Drosophila melanogaster: one gene and its partner. The protein of the gene in region 1 interacts with the protein of each later gene in a biochemical or structural test. Each region holds a gene or a part of one and is shown on either strand. Other genes may lie near its edges. The genes, in order: Pdp and Mad.

What was found.
Region 2: of the proteins of Pdp (region 1) and Mad, one has a biochemical effect on the other in vitro, tested with the Drosophila melanogaster proteins (one study listed by BioGRID).

The regions. Positions count from the first base shown.
Region 1 is NC_004354.4:7,728,289-7,737,316, forward strand, and holds Pdp (pyruvate dehydrogenase phosphatase), read right to left. Parts: upstream 6,364-9,028; 5' UTR 5,845-6,363; coding exon 5,731-5,844; intron 5,202-5,730; coding exon 4,700-5,201; intron 4,594-4,699; coding exon 4,026-4,593; intron 3,958-4,025; coding exon 3,714-3,957; 3' UTR 3,491-3,713; downstream 1-3,490. Other genes in the region: CG12155 (uncharacterized protein), read left to right, coding at 903-1,086, 1,374-2,857; Rab39, read left to right, coding at 6,940-7,047, 7,476-8,024.
Region 2 is NT_033779.5:3,145,531-3,157,373, forward strand, and holds Mad (mothers against dpp), read right to left. Parts: upstream 7,224-11,843; 5' UTR 6,903-7,223; coding exon 6,899-6,902; intron 3,750-6,898; coding exon 3,274-3,749; intron 3,208-3,273; coding exon 2,517-3,207; intron 2,296-2,516; coding exon 1,889-2,295; 3' UTR 526-1,888; downstream 1-525. Other genes in the region: ND-B14.5B (NADH dehydrogenase (ubiquinone) B14.5 B subunit), read right to left, coding at 1-154.

The DNA of each region.
Region 1 (9,028 bases):
TCGTCGGCAAATTGAGCAAAACAAGACACGAAGCTACACAATTGTGTTGTTTTTTATTGCTAGCGAGGAGACAAAAAAATAAGCGCAGGCTTGCACATGTGCGGTGTTATCGATAGTGCACGTATCAGCACGGCTTGTAATAGCCAACTTTGTATGTTTAACATGTAGTTATTAATATTATTTTGCCAACAAATAGTTGTATTATTATTATTGGTAGAATGGTAAATGTTACAAAAATTAATAAAGATAATAAAAAAAAATTATATGGGCCACAAATACAATATAAGTCTAATTTCTAATAGTGTTGGTAAAAAAACTGAACTCAAAAAATAAAAACCTTTAATTAGTTTGCCTTAGAACATCATTCCCATACGACTTAATTGTATAAGAACGTAACTTTTAATTGAGGATTATAAATACAGGGAAACGGACTTTTGCTTTTCAGTGACGGCGAAAGAGAACGCCAATTCCGCGATGTGTCATCCCTAGCGCGAAATAAGCAACAGCAAAAACAGCCAAAAGCAAAGCAAGAGCATCAAGTGCAGTCAAATTCGCACAATTGGAGCTGAACGCCAAGGACAAGGCGTCTCGATTCTTGCCGAGATTCGTGCCCCGTAGCGACTACAAAGGAGATCCTGCTGCACACAGTCGCTATCCTTTGCATCGAGTGTGCGAGAGTGTGTGCGTGCGTGTTCCTACACCTACATAAGCTGGTGTTTGGCTCCGTTCAAGTGCGCTTGTGTATGTGTTTGTGCGTGCATTTCGACGAGAACGAAAGCCTCTCTTTTCGTGGGTAAACAAAAACAAAACACCTGAATGTGAGGAGCAGCATTGGTATCGGGATAAGGATCATCAGGATTTGGGAGAGCACAACAGTGGAAACCCACAGAAGCTGAAGCAACATGTCCTCGTCGACGCAAGAGCGCAAGCGCTACCACAAGGACAACGCGCCCACGGACGACATCCTTACGCTGATCAACCTGGTGCGCCAGAATCCGGTTCTCTACAACTACAAACTGCAGCCGAACCAGCGACGCCGCTCCGATGTCCTCAACGGATGGCAGGAGGTGGCCCAGCAGATAGGAAGTGAGTGCTAGTCATGGCCTGCTTCATGTCCGACTATTAGCCTTCTTCCAGAATTAATATAAGCTTCCGCTAAAGTTGGTTTTAAATACCACATGCATATTGTATTGATAGGCTAGTGTTCTGGCGCCGGCTACTATAACACAACTCATAATTTCATCGTTACTTAGAAACGTTTTCATAAATGTGATGCCTTTGAAGAGGTTCTAGCTTGTATCAATTATCTGTAAAAGGAATACGATTCCTTTGAAACCCCGCTCATATTTATACTACCTCTTTCTTTCTTCCAGACAAGTACACGGTGCAGGAGGTGCGTCGTAAGTGGAAGAACCTGCGGGACACTTTCCACCAGTACCGTCTGCGCACGCCCAAGTACATCGAAGGGCGGCTATCCAAGTGGCGCTACGCCAAGGAGCTGGACTTCCTGTCGAAGGTGTACCAGCCGAAACTGAAATCGCACCGGAACACACAGATCACCTATGAGACGAGTGGGGTTGCCGGCGCCGGTGGAGGCATTGGAGGCGCGAATAGTACCACATTGCCCATTGGAGCTATGCTGCATTTGAAACAGCATGTGGACGATGACGACGACGAGGTGATGGACGATGACGGGCAATCGGATCACGATACCGCCACGCTCTCCTCACATCACGGCACCTCGCAGATCACCCTGGTCAGCGATGAGGCGGAAACCTTCATCCTGACCGCCTACGAGGAGGGCGTCTCGGATGACACTGTATCGCAGCACCACCATCACCATCATCATGGCCATCACCAGCAGGAGCATCATCACCAGCCGCACCACCACCACCACCACCATCATCATCAGTCGCAGCACGACGGCAGCATCTCCAGCATTGAGCTCTCCCAGATTGCCCACGATGACGATGTGGTCGATGATGTCGATGACGAAGATGATGTGGTCGACCACGACGGTCAGCTGGATATTGTGAAGCACGAACTGGACGAGGACGGGGCAACCGGCGCCGAGGTGGACTACGAAGAGGTGTGCCTGTACGAGGAGGCCAGCGGTGCCCATGTGGATTGCGAAATTGGTGTGGGTGACGCCGTGGACGGCGGTAGCGATGTTACCCACGGCAAGGGTTTCCATTACATCGATACACACGAATTTTGCATATCGGACATTGAGCCACAGACAGTTCGCTCCAGCCAGCATCAGTTCTCGGCCAGCGGTGGATCGGGCAATGGCTCAAATAGTGTCCTAACCGGTGGGACTGTGGTAACCGATGGCAAGGTAAAGAATCTCACGCTGGTAACAACCACGTCTCCTGCGGCTGGGGGCGGTGGATCAACCAATCGTCATGATTCCTCAGTGTCAACGCAGCAAATTTCCCTGGTGGATGTAACAGAGGCGACCAGTACCAGTGTGACGATTTCAAGCACGCCGGCCATTTCTCTGAATGCGACTACCGTGACTACCACGCCAGCAGCGGCGCTGTGCAATACCACATCCTTCACATCCACGCCGACGGCCACGATCATTCAGATGCCCCCCTTGAACTGCGGATCTGGCCAGCCATTGGCCGTTAGTGCGGCGGCCAGCAGTTCTAACAATCTCATCAAGGAGGATGAGCAGCATCAGCAGCAACAAGTGGCCCAGGCACTGGCCAAGCGTGATGAGCTCGATCTGTTCTTTGACTTTCTCAAGAAGAAGATGCAGTGCTTCAGCAAGACACAGATTACGCACATTCAGATGGAGTTCCTCAACTGTGTCAGCCGGCAGGAAGCGGCCGAACAGGATGGCAAGGATTAGGGACACCTGTTTTTAGTTATGTTCCCCAAAAAACAACCAATACGATCCCTGAGTAGTTGCCTAGTTTTTTCCATGTATAGGATTAGGATGCGTACCGTTTACCAGTTTGCAAGTTCGTGGATTCCGCGTTCTTCAATTAGCTTTATCCTCCACCCACGAAACCCCGGATCCCTGTATCCTTCACCCCTCTACACCATCCATTCGAGTAAAAATATATATACATATATATTAGCCAGCGTTACAATCAATTGTAATTGGAAATAAAAGAAAATAAATCGATTCTCGAAAACTACACAATTCGAAATTCTTAAAGTTGAATAGCTTGTTTGCAACAGATGATCTATACCTAAGTCTTAGGATTATCCTGGTTTCCCCCCCGTTTTATAGACCGAACTAAATTGAAAACAAGAAAATTGGCGTAAATTATAGAATAAGAAGTTTTAAATTGAATTAGATTATATACATTACGAATTGCTTGTAAATTTTAAACAGCAAAAATTAATATAAGTACTTGCTTTAAAAGAAAAAATAGTATCTACTTTACAAAATCACGAACTATTTGAGAAATAAATATATGAAGAAACCTTCTTGATTGCTTATAACCCTTGATATATACATATTTGCTGGGATTTTCATGTCATTTTTATTTTATTAACAAATGAGACGACCGATCATCGCTCTTTATGAATAACAAGACAATTTGCATATGTGATTTTTCGCTTTCCGCGTGCGATTTATTTGGCGCAGCAGTCGTCCGAGGTCCGATGGCGGATGAAACAAACTTAAACGCAACACTTAGGCTAGTTCGGCTGAAGGTTAGGCTCGTTAAATATACACATATGCACTCTCGCAGAGATCATGCTACCGGCGCAGTGACCTCCGTTTGATCCACATCGCTGTGCAGCTTGGCAATGTGCTCCGAGTTAAAGTAGATGACAGTGATTGTGATGTCGTCGCGATACAGACGCACCGCGTCCCTGGGCAGCGTCAAATAGTACGAGATCTTCGAGTGCTCAATCCCATAGTCGGTGCCGCCCAAAGCATGCCGGATGAGATGCGTGGCCGCGTTTTGGTCTACGGGTTTGCGAGTGAGGCCAGCCCTGCAATGCAATAAAAGCGTAATTAATAAATAAATAAATAACAAGCATACATTTAAAGGATAACTGACTTTCTTTCGGCCAGCTGCTGAGAGATTTCCTGCAGCGTTGTATCGCCTTCCGGCAGGCGCATCGGTTCGAGGATCTTTTTGGAGTTGATGTGCTCCCCCACCAAGCTGACCACCTCGCTGGGCGGAAGGAAATCCCATAGGCCGTCGCTGGCGATGACTAGAAACTTGTCGTTGGGCCCCAATTCGTGCTGCTGGACATCGGGGCGGGCGGTTAGGTACGGTGGCGTATAGTAATTCGGCGCCATTGCCTGCACGCCGAACATCGGCAGCACCTTCTGCTGCATTATTTCCTGGGACCACTTGTAGCGAAAGTCCCCAAAGGCACGCAACGGCGCCAGCTGGCTAAGCAGCCTGCCGTTTCGGATCACCGTCTCATGCTCCTCCTTGGGATGCTCGGCCAGAATGCGACGCACCTCGGACATATTGTCAGCATTGTGTTCGATGTTAAGCTTCTTTGAGTGCCACTGCTGCGTCTGGGGATCAAGAACGCCCAACACTGCGCCACAATCACCCGTGCTGGCCACGTGCATCTGCAGTCCCTCAATGTGAACCAAACAGGCAACGGCTCCTGGAAAATAAACACATTTATAGTTTAGAAATGAAGCCCCTATGAAGAGGAAAGTATGAAACGGGATGGCAACTTATATACATAAATAAATGGATACATCACCCACCAGAAAGGGCCACGTTCATGGTGCGTACATCGTTGCTGGTCAGAGCCTCCTGCGAGATCTCTTCATCCAGCTGGAGGAAGGCGTTCACCAGTTCACTGGATACATCCCGTTGCGGTGTCTCTAACAATTGATTGACATACTTGAGGAAACTAGCCTCGTACATGGGCTTGATCATGCTAACAAAGTCCACGTTGTCATTGTGGCACTTGAGGAACGACTGGCTGTCGGCACCCTGCTTCATCTGCTCCCGGAGCACCTGGCGCGGCAGCGTGGCCGCCGAAACATAGCGAAGCAGTCGCTTGGACACCACTTGGCCACATGCTGCTCCCGCATGCCCGTCGAAAATGCCACAAATGAAGCCGTTGCGGTGCAGGAAGCTGGCCTCCGTGCGGGAATCCTCGCAGGGCCAGTTTGATCCCAGCTGATTTGTTTCATAGCTGCGGATGACTCCATCCACGGGAAAGTTGTAAACGAACTCGTTCTCCCTCAGAACAAGGTTAACCTGTGAAAATAGTTTACATTAATACAGATTCTTACTCTTTATGTGGGAATTACAAAGGTTCCCATGGTAATAGTTATTAATCAGTTAATTCTTATTCGGTTCCTAAAAATTTTGTTCTTAAGCCGCTTGGTATGGACTCTTGTCCAGTGCAAACGATCAAATGAAATTAACTGCTCAGTAAAGGCATTATAAATGGTTGCTGTAGTTGAAATATGAATATGGAAAATCGAATACAGTCGGGTCGACGTCGTTCACTTTGTTTATAGGAAAACACTCGGGACTTTCTTGAAAGCCCTTGAAAGTAGTTATTGGATCTTCAGAAAATTATGCAGGCTTTATAGTTAAATTTTTAAACGGCTTAGGGATGTAATGCATAGATTTGTGGTTTCTAAAAGTAGCTTCAATAGGAAAAATCCAAAATAATTAATAAGTAAAGAAGTACTTTCGATCGAAGATCTTACAAACTGATTACATTTTACGAACCCTGCCCAGCTTGCTAATGACACTTGCCAGGAACCCCAAATCTTACATCGTATGGACTCAATTGAGGCAGTTGCGGCAGCAGACGCAGTGCATTCAAACTGAACTCCCGCACATTGGATCGCACGTAGCTGGCGGCGTCGTTCAGCACGAACTTGAACATCTATATGGAGATTTTGTATATGCTCTCGCCCCGCTGTGGCTATAATTAACGGTAATGATATTGGTTCCGTAACCAAATCGGGGGAGGAGTAGGCAAAGAAGATGGAGGAGAACGTGGTGGATTCCGTATCCCGGAGCCTCCGGCTGATTCACCGACTCCGGTTGCCGGTTGCTGACAAAGGGATCTTATTTTCCGCTGTTGCTTTTGATTGGCCGGCGGCTTGTTTGTACATTTGTGTGCTGTGAAATACGAAGCGGACGGTGTTCACGGAAAACAAACGTAAAAAGAAAATACAGTGCGTACTAGCGATGGGTTTTTCTCTGCACGAGACAGCCTAGAACGAAAATGAACACGCACGTCTTAATTTATGTGTCAAAGCACTGTACAAGGCCAAATCTTTTTGTGTAATTATTGTAAATTTATTAGCTTAATATGAAAGATTATTTTATTTTTTTTGTCATATTTTCTCAGAACAATTTAAACTAACTACATTTGTATGCATTCATCGTGTCACGCGAAATCGCGTTCTTTGACCATCTCTATTGGGCGGCGGTGCCAGACTGGCGGTGTTGCCATTAGCCGGTTACCGTTTTCAAGCCAAGTCTAGCTAGTTTTTGTGTACCGCCGAAAAATACATCTAAGCTTGTTAAAAAATCTGAAAACTGCCAAATTGATGTGAGGACACTATTTTTATTAAATAATTTAGAAGATATAACTGTTTAATAATGGTAATGAAATAATTTCATTGTGGCTACTATCGATTACTTTTGCTGGTCTGGCAACGTTGTCATTATCACACACACGCGCACGCATATGAGAAAAAAACACAAAACAAAACAAAATTCGAAGGAATTTGAATTCTCGAATATTTATAATTTAACAACCACCAGCGACAGCCGGAAATATCTCATTGCAAAGCCAGTAATCGTGTGAAGAACAGAAAGTTTCGATTTGCAATACAACTGCAGGAAATAAGAAGAAAAACGAGCAGCATAAGCAAATCAACGATTTGCGTATCAAACTTTACAAAGGGAAGGCAGATTTTTTGCTGCGGATTCAATTCCAAGAGACAAATCCCTCGAATTCGGCTTCGGAATGGTGGAACCCATTTTCGAGTATCAATTTCGACTGATTTTAATCGGCGACAGCACCGTGGGCAAGAGCTCGCTGCTCAAATTCTTCACAGACGGCAAATTCGCCGAGGTGCGTATGTCCAACGATTTTGGCCACTGTACTTGGACGCTTGGCCCACTGTGCGATCTTCGTGAGATGCAGTTAATGCGTTCATTACATAATTAAGTGATTGCATTGGGCGAGATACAACAAAAAATAGACAAAGGGAGTGGATTTTAAAAAGATGCTGCCTTAGTCACCTTGTCAGTGTGTGTGTGTGCTGGTGTGCATGTTTGTGTGCTCGCCTGATAATGCAGGCAGCAAAAACAACACACAAGTCCAAAATAGGACCAGGGATACTCAAATAACTGCGCGGGAAATTTAAAAACATAGAGATATCATGAATTGTGTGGAATCAAAAGTGTTCTCAAAAGCATTACAGCTCTAAACTGCGTTTCTTTTTACTGCCTCCCAAGAATCCACCTAATCATAAATAACACAATATTTACATTTTGCAGTTATCCGATCCCACAGTTGGCGTCGACTTCTTTGCCCGCCTCATCGAAATGAAGGACGGCACACAGATCAAGCTCCAGCTGTGGGACACTGCTGGCCAAGAGCGCTTCCGTTCGATCACCAAGTCCTACTACCGGAACTCGGTTGGCGTGCTGCTGGTCTACGACATATCGAATCACGCCAGCTTCGAGCACATACCGCTGTGGATGATGGAGGCACAGCGTCACATTGAGCCCCACCGCCCCGTTTTCGCATTGGTCGGCTGCAAACTGGACCTCATCAATGCGGGCGGACACCGGGAGGTGACCACAGAGGAGGCACAAAAATTTGCCAAACAGCACGGTCTGCATTTCGTTGAGACATCGGCCCGGTCTGGTGCCAATGTGGAGGAGGCATTTCGCATGGTCACCCAGGAGGTGTACGCCCGCATTCGATCCGGCGAATATAAGGCGGAGGATGGATGGGACGGCATCAAGTCTGGCTTTTCGCGACCCAATAGTCTGGACTTTAATCTCGTCGTAGCAGAGCCGGAAAAGTCATCATGTTGTTGATTCACCCCGACCTCATTGTCTATTATTTTCAATACTGTTTATGTACATTGATTTGTATCGTATGACCCACCAGTACTCCTTTTCCCCCCTAAACACCAATTTGTTGACTCTTTAATCTTGTTTAATCGTCTAGTTTAGCTAAAAAACCAAAACAGTTACGTATATTTACACAATGCGTTTTTTTTCTAATTACATATAGTTAATCGCTTTTAAGTTAATATTTAGTTCGGTGACTCACGGTAATTAGTGAAGATTGAGTTTGAACCCCTCTTTCCAAATTATGTTTACTTCGCCCCTATAATTGATAGCCAGTCACACGAGGTATACGTAGCCGAGATTCTGCGCTCCTAACTCATACAACACATAACTCCACATACACAAATACGAAAGGAAAAGCTATACATATACTTAAAACTTGAAATATAAACGTTTTTATTAATACGGACGGCATGCATTTGGTTAATCAAGGGTTAGCTTGGGCTTTGTTTTTGTCTAATCTAATCGATTTAGAGTTTTTATGCACATTTCTCCGCTTTGTTAAATCAAAGGAGTCTTGAAGCAATTGTCAAAAAAGCAACCTGTGTGATACACAAACGTTCGTAGCTGCACGGTTTCCAAAATTTACAATTTTACAATAAAAGAATTCGCGGCATATTTGGCGGCTGTTTACATATATGTGCTTTATTTCGTTTATTAAATTTTTCGCAAAGTTTAGTCCACTTGATAGATAACCCAAAACTTAGCTGCGACGATTTCTATTGTTGTTTTACACCTTCGTAGTTGTGCTCAATCAATCTAGATTTTGTTGGAAATTTCCATAAATATTGGTGGCCTCATCGGTCTGGCAACAACAGGTAATTCCTTTAATTCTTTAATCATTACTTGTTTCTTAGTAGTGCAAATTAAATAATGTAATGTAAAGAAGTTGGAAAAATCTTTTTCAAATTTGTTCGCGCATGTGACAGTGTTCCCAGACCAACTTTTTTCGCAACGTTGTGGTCTTT
Region 2 (11,843 bases), on another chromosome or scaffold:
AAAACACGGGCTTACGGAAGCCCCAGTTGATGAAAATGGCCGCGCCCACGCCGGCCACACCGCAGGCAATCGGATTCCATATCGGCGAGAGGAAAGAAGGCTCGTGGGTGCCCTTGTTCGTCAAAAGTTCCAGCGGATCGTTCACGGCACTCATGTTGATAGGATGAAAAACAATAGCGGTGGGCAACTAACGCAGTTAGCGATGTCACTGGCAGAACTCTCAGCTATCGATAGCGTGCGAACTGAACTAGTTCCGTAACGATTATTTAAAACGTAAGTTGTATATAATTTAAATAATATAAACAAACACGTATTGCACATTGCCAACTTTATTTGGTTCCTTTTATATTGGAAACTACAAATTATTCACTCGCGCACTAAAATCAGAATAAATATTCAACTAGCCACTAACTAACTAACCGAAATAACAAACCAAAAATAAACGAATTCAAAACGTTGATGAAAAATGTTGTCCACATGATGAAATATCTCAAGTTCAAGCCAGGGTTTTATGTTTTTCCTTTTATTTGAATTCATTTTTTAATATTACATTAGTACGTTTAACATTAAGAGGCATGCAAGGCGTATTTAAGGCAATTTATAGCATTCAAAAACTAGTAAACTTCAAGGCAACTATTTCTGTTTCTTGTTCGTTTGGTAATCAGTATCGCTGCTTGGATATTAAGACATTATTAAATTTTTCTTTGCTCCACACAATTCGCACAACATCAAAGGCCGACGTGGAATATCGAACAGGCACAAATATTACAATATTATTATTAATTTTTTTTAGTAAGGCCCAAGTTTTGCCCAAGCCTCTAATATACAGCTATTTTTACATTATATCTTTTTATATCTTATTTAAATCCGAGCGTAAAAAGTAAAAAAAAAGAACTCATAAGTCAAAAACAGGTTTTATTTAAGAAGTAAGCATTTCGTTTGTTTTTTTTTTTATTATCGTCTACTTATTTTTCTGCGCACAAAAGTGTAATTCAAAACAAAATCAGAGAAAATCATAAGCTTACGATAACTAGAGTAAAGTTATACATGTATATTTATATAAAAAGGCAATTTTCTCGTGGTCTAAACAATATTAGTTTTACTTAAGATAACAAAAGATCATTGTCTGGGAAAACGTATTGATTCAGTAGCATTTTTCCATTCTTAAATTTCGCTGGTATCTTTTCTTGTTTGATGTTTTCGATTTGTTTGCAACTTAAAATTAGTTAAACCATATATATATTTAAATCAACTATATTGAACATTGAATTCGTTGATCCAAGGCGAACCGCAAATGAGAAAAATAAAACATAAGCTAGGGCTTCTTCAAAATCATTTTAAGAAATGTATTGCAATAAGTGTTTTCATATCCCTACGTAAGTTACTTGTTCCTTATGTAATTAAAGTTGGTAGGATTAATTCAATGTGTTTTTATATTTAAAGCAGTTTTGCAATGACACATAATTAGCACTTGAAATAGACTTGAACAAGAACTGTTTTGCCAATGGGCATAGATCATTAATATTATAGCATGTAGATCATTGTAAATAGTTATACCATTTTGTAATTGGTTTCTTAGCTCGCTGTCCATTTTCATTACTCTGTTTTAGCGTTAGGAATGACATTCGCATAGAAAATCATACGATAAACTATAAAATATGGGCAAAGGGCGGGTATTGGAGTAGCTGCCGTACATCATCTATATAAATCTGCGACTGAGTGGCATGGACCTCCATCCTCAGGCCTACAGACCTATGCTCTCTCCATTGTCCTGTGTTCTCTACGTCTTTTCACACTTAGCTTTCACTCACACGCACTCATCATTTAGCTACCGGTTTTGTGTTCCTTCTCTTCCGTCTCCATTGAGGACTCGAGCCTCATCTTAAGCTTAGGATACCGAACTAATTGCATTATGCGGAGAGCCCATTTGGGTGAGCACCTTGTCCAGCCACTGGAGCGGCCCGTGCAGATGGATTTCAATCCAACAGGGCGTCGAGGTCACATCCTGGCGATGATACTCCGCACCCCAGCCCTTCACGAACGACATCCGGATCGTGCACATCTTTGTCAGCTCGTAGACGGCCTCGAATCCATTGTTCACCGACTGCGACAGCAGCTGAGCAAATTCCTGATTGTTGAAGATCTTCAGCGAGCAGCCCGGCGGTATTTTGCACACGGTGCTCGGATGGAATCCGTGGTGGTAGTTGCAGTTGCGCGACTGCACGAAAATGGCGGAGTCGGATAGGCATTCGGCGTAGACCTCGCCGGTCACATAGTATAAATGAACACCCTTGCCTGGGGAAGAAGAAACATTTTGAGTTAAAAAGACAGGTAGTTGGATTCTTGAAGTCCATAGCTTTCTACTCTACTCAATGCCTATTTTTATAACTGATAAACACAAGTCGCTTTCTAATTTAAGATTACCAATGTGTAATCTTAGTTATTAACCACTTTAAGATAGTTGCTGATGGGAAATCTCTGTGAGTAAGTTAATTTAAGTGCTAAAATCGACTCACCTATATGACGGCGTGTGTTCTCGATGGTGCTATTCCTGTTCACGTTGCTCAGCTGGCCGAGACAGCAGCGGTCCGAGTTGTTGGAAGGATTCGTGAAACCGTCAACGATCACGGAGTTGTTGTTGCAGTGGAACACCTCGCCCACGCGGCAATTTAGCTCGTAGTAGGCTATCGACGCCCAGAAGGCGGGCTCCGAATAGCTAACCTGGGCAACATCGCCCATCTGAGCATCCAGCAGCTGGCCACCGTCGTTCGGATTGTTGGAGTTGCCATCCTCCGAGGGACTGTAGGCGGGTGGCGGTGTTCCCGCCAAGCTGTCGTACGGCGAATTGGGATTGGAGTTGACGGAACTCGGACTGCCCACCGATGTGTTGCTGGTGCTCAAGCTGTGCGAGTTGAATCCACTGTTCGAGTAGCTCACATTGTGCGGCATACTGGGCTCGGCCACATGGTTGAACTGCAGCATCGAGTGACCGGGCGCGAATTCCGAGTGGCGAGGAACGAGTACTGGCGGGAGCACCGGACTCTCCACGCGCTTATAGTGATACGGATTGATGCACACCTCCTTCTGCTTGGCGCTGAACGGATACTGGCACAGCTCGAGTGGCTTCAGTTCGTGGTGCGACTGCAGATCTGGCCAGCGCCACACGCGGCAGTAGATCACATGCGGCAGACCCTTGCGATGGGAGACCTGATATTCGGAAATAGGAGTTAATAATCATCTGTTACTTAGCTGGCCATGTGGCTTGTGACCCACCTGTAATCGTCCGTCCAGCGAGCGTGGAATGGTGACACACTTCGAGGGCTGACCGGGACAGGAGAGCGCACGCTCCAGCTCCTCGATGGCGCCCTTGCGCTTCTTCAACTTCTTCACCAGACTGTCGACGGCCTTCTCCGCCCACTTCTCCTCTTCGTCACCCTGTTTCCAGCCCAGCAGCTTCTTCACCGCCGGCGATGTGAAGGAGAATAGCGAGCCCAGTGTGGACATCGCGCTGCTTGTGTTCGATTCCACATCGTCGGTGTCCATTCTGTTGCTGCTGCCGCTGATTGCTGTCGTCAAATTGAGGTTGTTGCTGCTGCCACTGCTGCAGATGTGGTTATTGTTATTGTTGATGTGGTGGATGTTGTTGTTGTTGCTGCTGCCGCTGCTGATGGTGGTGGTGGTGGTGGTGCCGCCGTTGATTTGGGGTGGAGTCACCCGATAACCGGTATAACTATCAGCGGGCGGATAGTCTGTGAAAAGAGCAAGTAAAAAGCAAATATAAATAATAAATACAAATAGAATTGCAGGCATTCATCATCGAGCTTAGATTGTCTCAGCAACGCCCACAACACAACGCATGCAAAATTCGAATGCACTGAGAGAAATGTTATAGAAAACTTTGCATCTAATTCAAGCAAATGTTTATACGTAACAAAAGGGGAAGTCAGCAACTTATGTGACCCTTTTTCTTCGAGTGTCTTTACCCGCTTGGCCAAGTGCCCAGCAGAAATTGGAGGAGGAGTGAGTATCCATGGGGCCTGGCAGTGCATCGTGTTTCTGGCTAGTGAATGAAGTCGTTGGGAGGTTCCTGTCATGAACGGACTCCTCCCACTTTCAATGTTGGCGGCCAATTGCATGCAAATTGCCTGCAACATTTTCTCATTGAGAATAATGGCCATTATTGCTTCACTTAACCAACTAGCTGATTAATCGAATCTCGATTTCGTTGGAAACTTATTTTTATCTATTAAATATGGTTATTGTTCGTATTCAATCGCAGCTGACGTCAATTGTGAAACGATTCTATTGTAAGGGGGGTATTTTTGAGGTCTGACAGTTCTTTGAATTCCAAAAAACCACAAAGGTTGCGAACGAAAAGAGTTCGCACTTTTCAACGTTATAAATAGTATTAGTTTTCGAACACAACAATTCTGCAAAAATATATGAATAATAGGTAAATTTATGAAGCACAGATAATAGTTTCATGTGCTGGTTTTCGGGCTGCCTTATCGATTCTTAGAAAATTGGCATTAAGAAATTGGTTTATCAACAGAAAAAACTAAACTATAGCAATAAAAACCCACTGTCTTCATTCTATTTAGTTAGGCTCCACTGTACTGCAGTAATATTCGAGTCGAGTGGCGAGAACTGCATCTCATAATGAGCGCAAATGATAACCAAATGGTGTTCGACTTGTCAGCGCCACAATTGTGGGTATTCCCCCCTGTTTTCTACGCCCCCCCCCCTCCATACTTTTCCCCACCAAAGACAACAATTCCATTTGAATTATGACATTTCAATGTTAACAGCATTTCTGAGGAACTTCTCTCCGTTGGCCAAGTGGCTGCGCTCCAGTTGGCTGTCTTAGCCTCAATCTCGTTGCTTTACTCAAGGTGTCAAAAAATGTTTGATTAAATTTAAAAGTGACAAAACCTAATTGAATGAAAATTTGTAGTAGCAATTAATTTGTGCAAGCTGGAGCAAAAATCGGCGAGCCACACAAGGCGAACTTGCTAGGCGAACCACCCATTTTTGTGGCAAGCAAACGGGCTGGTAAATCCAATTTCAAAAGCAATTAAATGCCGGCGATAAATCAACAAGTGCAGCACTTGGACAACAAGAAAACACCTCTCGATTGGGCTCCCGACAGACCAAATGGCGCATATTTCTGGCCAAATTAGCCGTTGCGTGAATTAATTTCGATTTTCTCGCTCAACTCGGGCCTAAAAATTTTGGGGCGTTGCCGTTTTCTTTTTTTTTTCGCAGCATTGACAATTTTATGTTGTCGCCCATGGAAGGGGGCGTGGTCAACGAGGACCAGTGGTTGGGGGCAGTCACTTTTCTAATTGCCCAAAGTCAACCAGAGCCTCCGGCGGTAGATATATTGCTCTAAGAATGCTCTAACTTTATCACTAGCCTACAAGAATATATTGAAATTAATGATAAGTCACACAACCATTTTGATTACCAAAACTAGCTTAAAAACCTCTTCCAAAAGATTAGGATTACGAACAAACAATCGGTACCTTATCGAAAATGGTACACCTTTGCTTATAACTAATCCCAAAATTAAACATACAGTGGAGTACCAGTTCACATGGTCTCTCCTTCTCAGTAACTCAGGATACAAACGGAGTGACACTTGGCGGACAGACTTATCGAGGGGGTTAGTGGAGATAGAGAACTCTACCCTACGTATTTACCCAGCTGACTAGTGTCGTGTGTTTTTAGGTGGCAATGGTGCTCTAGTGGAATTCGATTGATTTGAGTGGGGCAGGCATACAAATTTCGATAATGCCCCCGTTTTGTTTGTGCAAAGCTCGATTGCAGGTGAGGTTTTCGACATAATCAGTCGGTTTTCAAAAGGGGAAACTACCCCATTAATTCGCAGGAATTACATAAAAACTTTATTTACACGATCATAACAACATATTCAACATATTTATGATGTTTATTCGGAGATTTGATGGTTTTCCAAACAACAAAGTGGCTTTCTTTAGGCACTTAAACGATTTTCTTGTTTTGTCTCTCAATGCATCTCGAGTTGAACGATACTAAATATAAATATAATAAGTCCTTTATGATCCATTATCATATGGGACATTCCCCATATCAATTAAAGATCAATAATCGTAATTCGCAATTACATATTACCCGAGCTGAGATCACGTACCCAACGTACCCGCCCAAAGTGGCCCAGTCTTCTTTCTGCTTTCAAGAAAACCACACTCGAAGGAAAGTTCTTCATTGCTTTCAAAGCAAATTCAATTGATGGTTCTTGGTTTAAAGTGAATCTACTTTTAGTCTTATATTTAGAGTAACTAAATTGAAGAATTGCATTTCAAATCGGCTGTGTACATTCTTCTGGTTAGTGATTCCATTGTGAGTTTCTTTTCAGTGCATCGCTAGTCAGGGATCATAACTCAACTGGAGAAACGGAGGAGCGAGGATATCGAGGCACTTTTATGGCAGGCACGCATTCGCGCATGCGTATCATACCATTCCAATCGATAATCAATCATAAATGCGGCAGTGACAATAAGGCGTAAATCATGGGAGCCAGGTAGAAGTAGAAATCAAGGTGGATGGATGGCAAGTACACAAGTACAGAAGTACAGAAGCACTTCCGCTGCCATTGAAAGCGGGCAAAAAGCGTGGTAAAGGGTACTACGACTAGTGCCACAAAAATAACAACAAAACAACAAGAAAAAAACGAACAGACAGAGAAAATAGGGACTTGGACCCATGTTTAAAAATAAACAAACAATGCACACACAAAAACGCAGCGCGATAAAGACCAAAACCAAACAGGCCAAAGTTTCGATTTGATGCGAGGAGGAAAACTCAAAAATCGAGCAACTCGAGGCAAACGAGAACTATGTACGAACTAAGAACCTACACATGATGATGTTGAGATTGCAGATATTATTTTATTTATTTTTATTGCACGCACAAACACACACACACACACGGACAAGAATTCAGCATCAAAATGTTATTTTATTCGTATGCAAATCGCAAACGCGACCCTCCACGACGATCGGGCATCCAATCCAGTCGCCTCAGCAGTTACATTTCCGCTGCGAGTCTTCAATTCAATCGTTATCACCGTAATAACTTCATTTATTTAAGCCTTTTGCCGTATTATTTTTTATTTTCGCCGTAAATTACGCAAAGTGGAAATGGCAGCGAGCGCGAATCAGAAGTCAACTGCACGACACGACCGATCGACAACGAATGCCGAACGGGTTGCCCAGCAAACTGAGTGCGCCGAGTGTTGATTGACTGACTGACTGACTGACTGACTGACGAACTGACTGACTGAGTGAGTGACGAACTGAACGCAGCCCAAACTGCATTCGTATTGTGTATCGGTGTGAGTTCGCCAGGGATGCGAAGCAGCAGGTCCATCCTAAAGTATCTAAAGGTAACACAAACTACTTTCTACAGTTATTAATAAGTTTAAGACTGGAAAATTGAGTTATTATATTCCATTTTCTTAATATTTATCTATTTAGTAATGTACTTATTGTAGCCCTAAGAGAGTATAAATCTAGTGTATGTATCCCTATTGAATCCCTTCTTTATCACCAGCTAGTCCGCAGCCCTGATTTCTGAAGACCTCTGAGTGACGTATTCGTATTCGTATTCCTGTGCTCGTAATTGGTTTCAGTGTGCGTTTGGGGCAGCCAAGTGCACACCACTACACCCATACAGGCAACGAAAGTTTTGTTTTAAACAAATCAAATGCCCTATCTGCAGTTGGGGGCGCCAGCACGTGAGCGCGAACGTGTTTGTGTGCAGCAGATCACACGGCGAGAAAAATATGCAACATTTGTATTTCAAATAACAATGTTACTTGAAGAACTAAGATTTAACATTTGAGTACTCTTTTACTTAACTCTTTTTCGAATTAAATAGACATTGCTGTTTTTAGATGCACACTAATTTGTTTGCAGTGCATGGCCTTTGGTGGTGTTGGAGGTGGCGTCAACCCACAGCCACAATCAAACTGTAAACACCCCACCGCAACCACAACAAAAATGAAGGGAACGTAGTTTCAGGGGAGGAGTTTAAGAGAAGGCAGCGTCAACGAATTTTTTCGTGCGTGGGACCGGCGAGTAATTGAACCTAAAATTCGATGAAGCCCTCCTTCGGCAGAGTGTTTTCGGTACGAAAATAAGCGGAAACAAATCGAAATTCTATTCGCAAATGCACTGCCAATTTTTTTTAATGGGTAAAGCAACGAAACTAAAGTTTTTTCGTTACGAAATCTTTTGAATTGAAGTCAAGCGAACCTATTTTCTTGGCCCGGACTGTACGTGTGCTTAGAATGCGAGCATGTTTATGTGCGATCGCTCCTCCCTCCCTTCGCTTTTATTGCGTGTTTAACACTACTAAACGCGAACTTATTGCAAACATGGGTAGCATTATACAGTCGCAGTAAAATCGAAATAGTAATGAAGCGCACTCTCCTCGAAAGCAGAAGTGAAAACGACGAAAAATAACAAAATAATTATGTAGTCCCTTTGGAACAATAAAAATTTATGCACGCAAATTGCACAAAAGCGGAAAACTCAAAACACACACGTGCCGAAGTGCAAACGTCAAGGGGCAAAAATGCGCAGGCACGGCAGAAAATCCTTTTTTAAGTAAATTAACTCAATTCTAATTGCAAATAATTGCCGCGATAATTGCAGGGGGCCACGCAGAGGCTTTGTGTCATGTGAGTAATTGAGCTGTCAACACGGGGACACCACCGCTTTTCCGCAAAAATGAAAAAAATTGCCAGTCGGTGGTGGGTGGTCTACACTACTTTCAAATAAATAGCTTTCAGTTCCATCTTGATTTGAAATAATTTCAATGTTTATGAACATTGATGCACATTTATGAGTAGTATGCAAGTTGAGTAGTAACGAAGCGCGCCAAACATAGTTGGAAGAAGGATATACTACTGTGAATAATAAACAGCATTTCTCTTCAATTTCAAAAAAATGATGACACCTCTAGTCTTCTGCTCCATCCTAACATCAAATAGAATGGCAGTTCTTCTAATAGAAGTCGACAAATTTCGATGCCAATTAAAGCTCGCTAAACATGTGACAAAAGTCAACTGCCAGTAGCTGAAGTCTTCAGCTTTGCTGTGATGTTTGTTCCTATGCCCCAGTGTTTGTTGCACTGCTCCTCTGTTGCATTGTTGCATCGTTGTGCTGTTGTGCAGTTGTTGTCGTCTCACCGTCACTGCCGACGCCTAAACATGCAACAATTGTTGCGTGTTCAACTGCCAATCAATGCCAATGACTGCCGGACCACAGCAGCAGTGGCAGGAATCAGGAGCAACACTTGCGTCCAAAATGATGGGTATTATTTAGTCGAAATATTGGTGTAAAACAAACTAACTTGCTCATTTTATACTGCGGGCCTCAACATAAATGAAATTGCGACAGAAACTAATTGCACATATGTGAAATGCACTAGCAACTTTTATTGCAAACCTCTCGTCACTATTCTGCTGAACTCGTCTGTGGTGGGGAAAAGGTCCTAAAGTGCAACGTGCAGCAGAGCAACTGCAGCAGCAGCAAGTTCGTCATCGTCATCGGCATCCACGATTCGTTCGGTTCGCTTAAATAGCCATAAATATGTGGAGTATGCGCCACAGTTTCCGAGATGGCTCCACCCGCCCCTCGGCCCTCTGTCCATCTTCTCCTCCTACCTTCCTACCCGCCAAACCAACGCCAAGTCTTAACCCTTCCGCCTGTCCTGCGGGTTAAACGTGCTGCTTCAGTGTGGCGCCTAATGCGTGCGCCAAAACAAAACGTAAAAGAATTCTTAGAAAAGCGTCGCCGCGCGACCAAGCGGCTTCTGAGCAAAAAAAAAAAAACAGGCAGTTTGGGGCGGAGTAGTCCACTATCGAGTGGATTAAATGGCACAAACATGGCTAATTACATGTATTTAACACGCACGGGGCAGTCTGTACTTCAATGTTGCCAATGCGACACAAACAATGACAAGCACCACAATTATGGTCAAAGCTGGACGGCGATCCACTAGAGACGAGCGCCAAGAAATCCGAAGCTGGTGGGGATTCAGCAGCAGGAAGGTGAACAACAAATGGATGATCAGCAAGTTGATACTTAATACTGATCTCTAAACTCTTCACTTCATATACATTTAAATTGAAGTGAAATCCCTAAGTTAGAGTATCCAACTAGTTGCAAGACAACTTTGCTGCCACTTAGCCAGCCTTTGATGGATATCTACACCATTAAAATAGGAGCGGCTGGGAATGGTGGTTCTGCCCATCGCCAGCCAGTCAACTCCGCGTTGTCAATGCACAAATTTATTAGATTTTAAATGCAATAATTATTAGCATTATATGGGCAATGAAGCGCCGATCGAGCACTGCGCCGGAATATCGAATCAGTTTTAGCCAGTTCACGGTGTGTGGCTAAGACGACGGTCATTTGGTATGCAAGCTGGCCAACAGCGATCGCCAGTAGCTGCCAAACTGTAAACTCTAGTTACGGGCTAATTTCATTCAAGACGAGCTCACTTTGCGTGGGTGTTGGCTCCACCGTCTGTTGCATGACTTCGCCGCCTTGCCAGCCCCTTTAGGCCCCGTTCCAACCACCCACCACCCAAAGCATAACTATTCCCATGACAGTTCGGCGACAGAGATTTATGCGCTGCAATTTCCCACTTTATTGCTGTTTAAAGTTGCGTTTTCATAAGTTTTGGCGCAGTTTGTCTCTTTTAGCTTCAATTTCGCGCCCTCAATGTGGCACTTTTACGGGCTACGAGCGAGTTAGGCGGGGAATATATATATTTTTAGGGTTTATTACAATGTTATTTATTAATATTAGCATTGCTGGTTTATGGAAGAACTCCATAAAATAAGCTATGTAATTGGAAATAATTTTGGATTTACATTTGTACTAAGTGTTCGAAAGTGATTCCATAAATGGTAACACTTGTTATAAATTATATTATTTATTTAACAGAAAAGAGTATACAATACTTCGGATCTGCGCTCAAGGCAGCCACTCTTGATCTTTGATTTAAAAGCCAATGCTGTGAGTTTTTGAAGCCAAAACCAAAGCCAGCAAGCCGTTGATAAGAGATCTGCTGTGGAGTACTTCTTAATAAAGTTGTTGCCTGTATTATGACAATCAAAGAGAAAATCCTATTGCGACGGGGTCTAAAAATAAGTTCAAATTCGTGTTGACAATTTTTAGGTTGCTTTTTCTGTCGTTGGGCTTTGCCGTTTTATTACCATTGCGCGAACGGATTATCGCGACAAGAAGATCAAAAGCAGGAGGACCAAATAGGCGGATGGAGGGGCAAACACACACATTTATGTGGATATCAAAAAATAACAAGAGGGGCACACTCCGCCCACAGACTCTGGTTGAGCAAAATGGGAATACAAAACCGAAAAGCGTAAATCACGCTTTCGATAGATCTAAAATTAGTTTCCGGCGATAAGCCAAAGCCAGATTATTGCAGTAAGTTTGGTGAATATAATGCTAAAAATAACTATCAAAACCGAATGTAAAAAAATTAAATAATATTGTATATTATATGCTTATATGCTGAGCTTAACTAAGTTATTGTTTAATAATAACTATTACATTGTGCCCCACAGTTGTGCGTCATAAATATTGTAATGACTTGATCACATTTGATTTAGGTTTTTATTAATTTCGCCGAGTTACTGACATGAAAATTTGCATGTTGCTTGTTGCACAAACTGCGCATAAATCCAATTAATAACATAATTATTTGGCAAGCAAAACGCAGCAAGCATTCGACGAAGCTCATTTCAAGAGGCCGCCGTTGAGTTA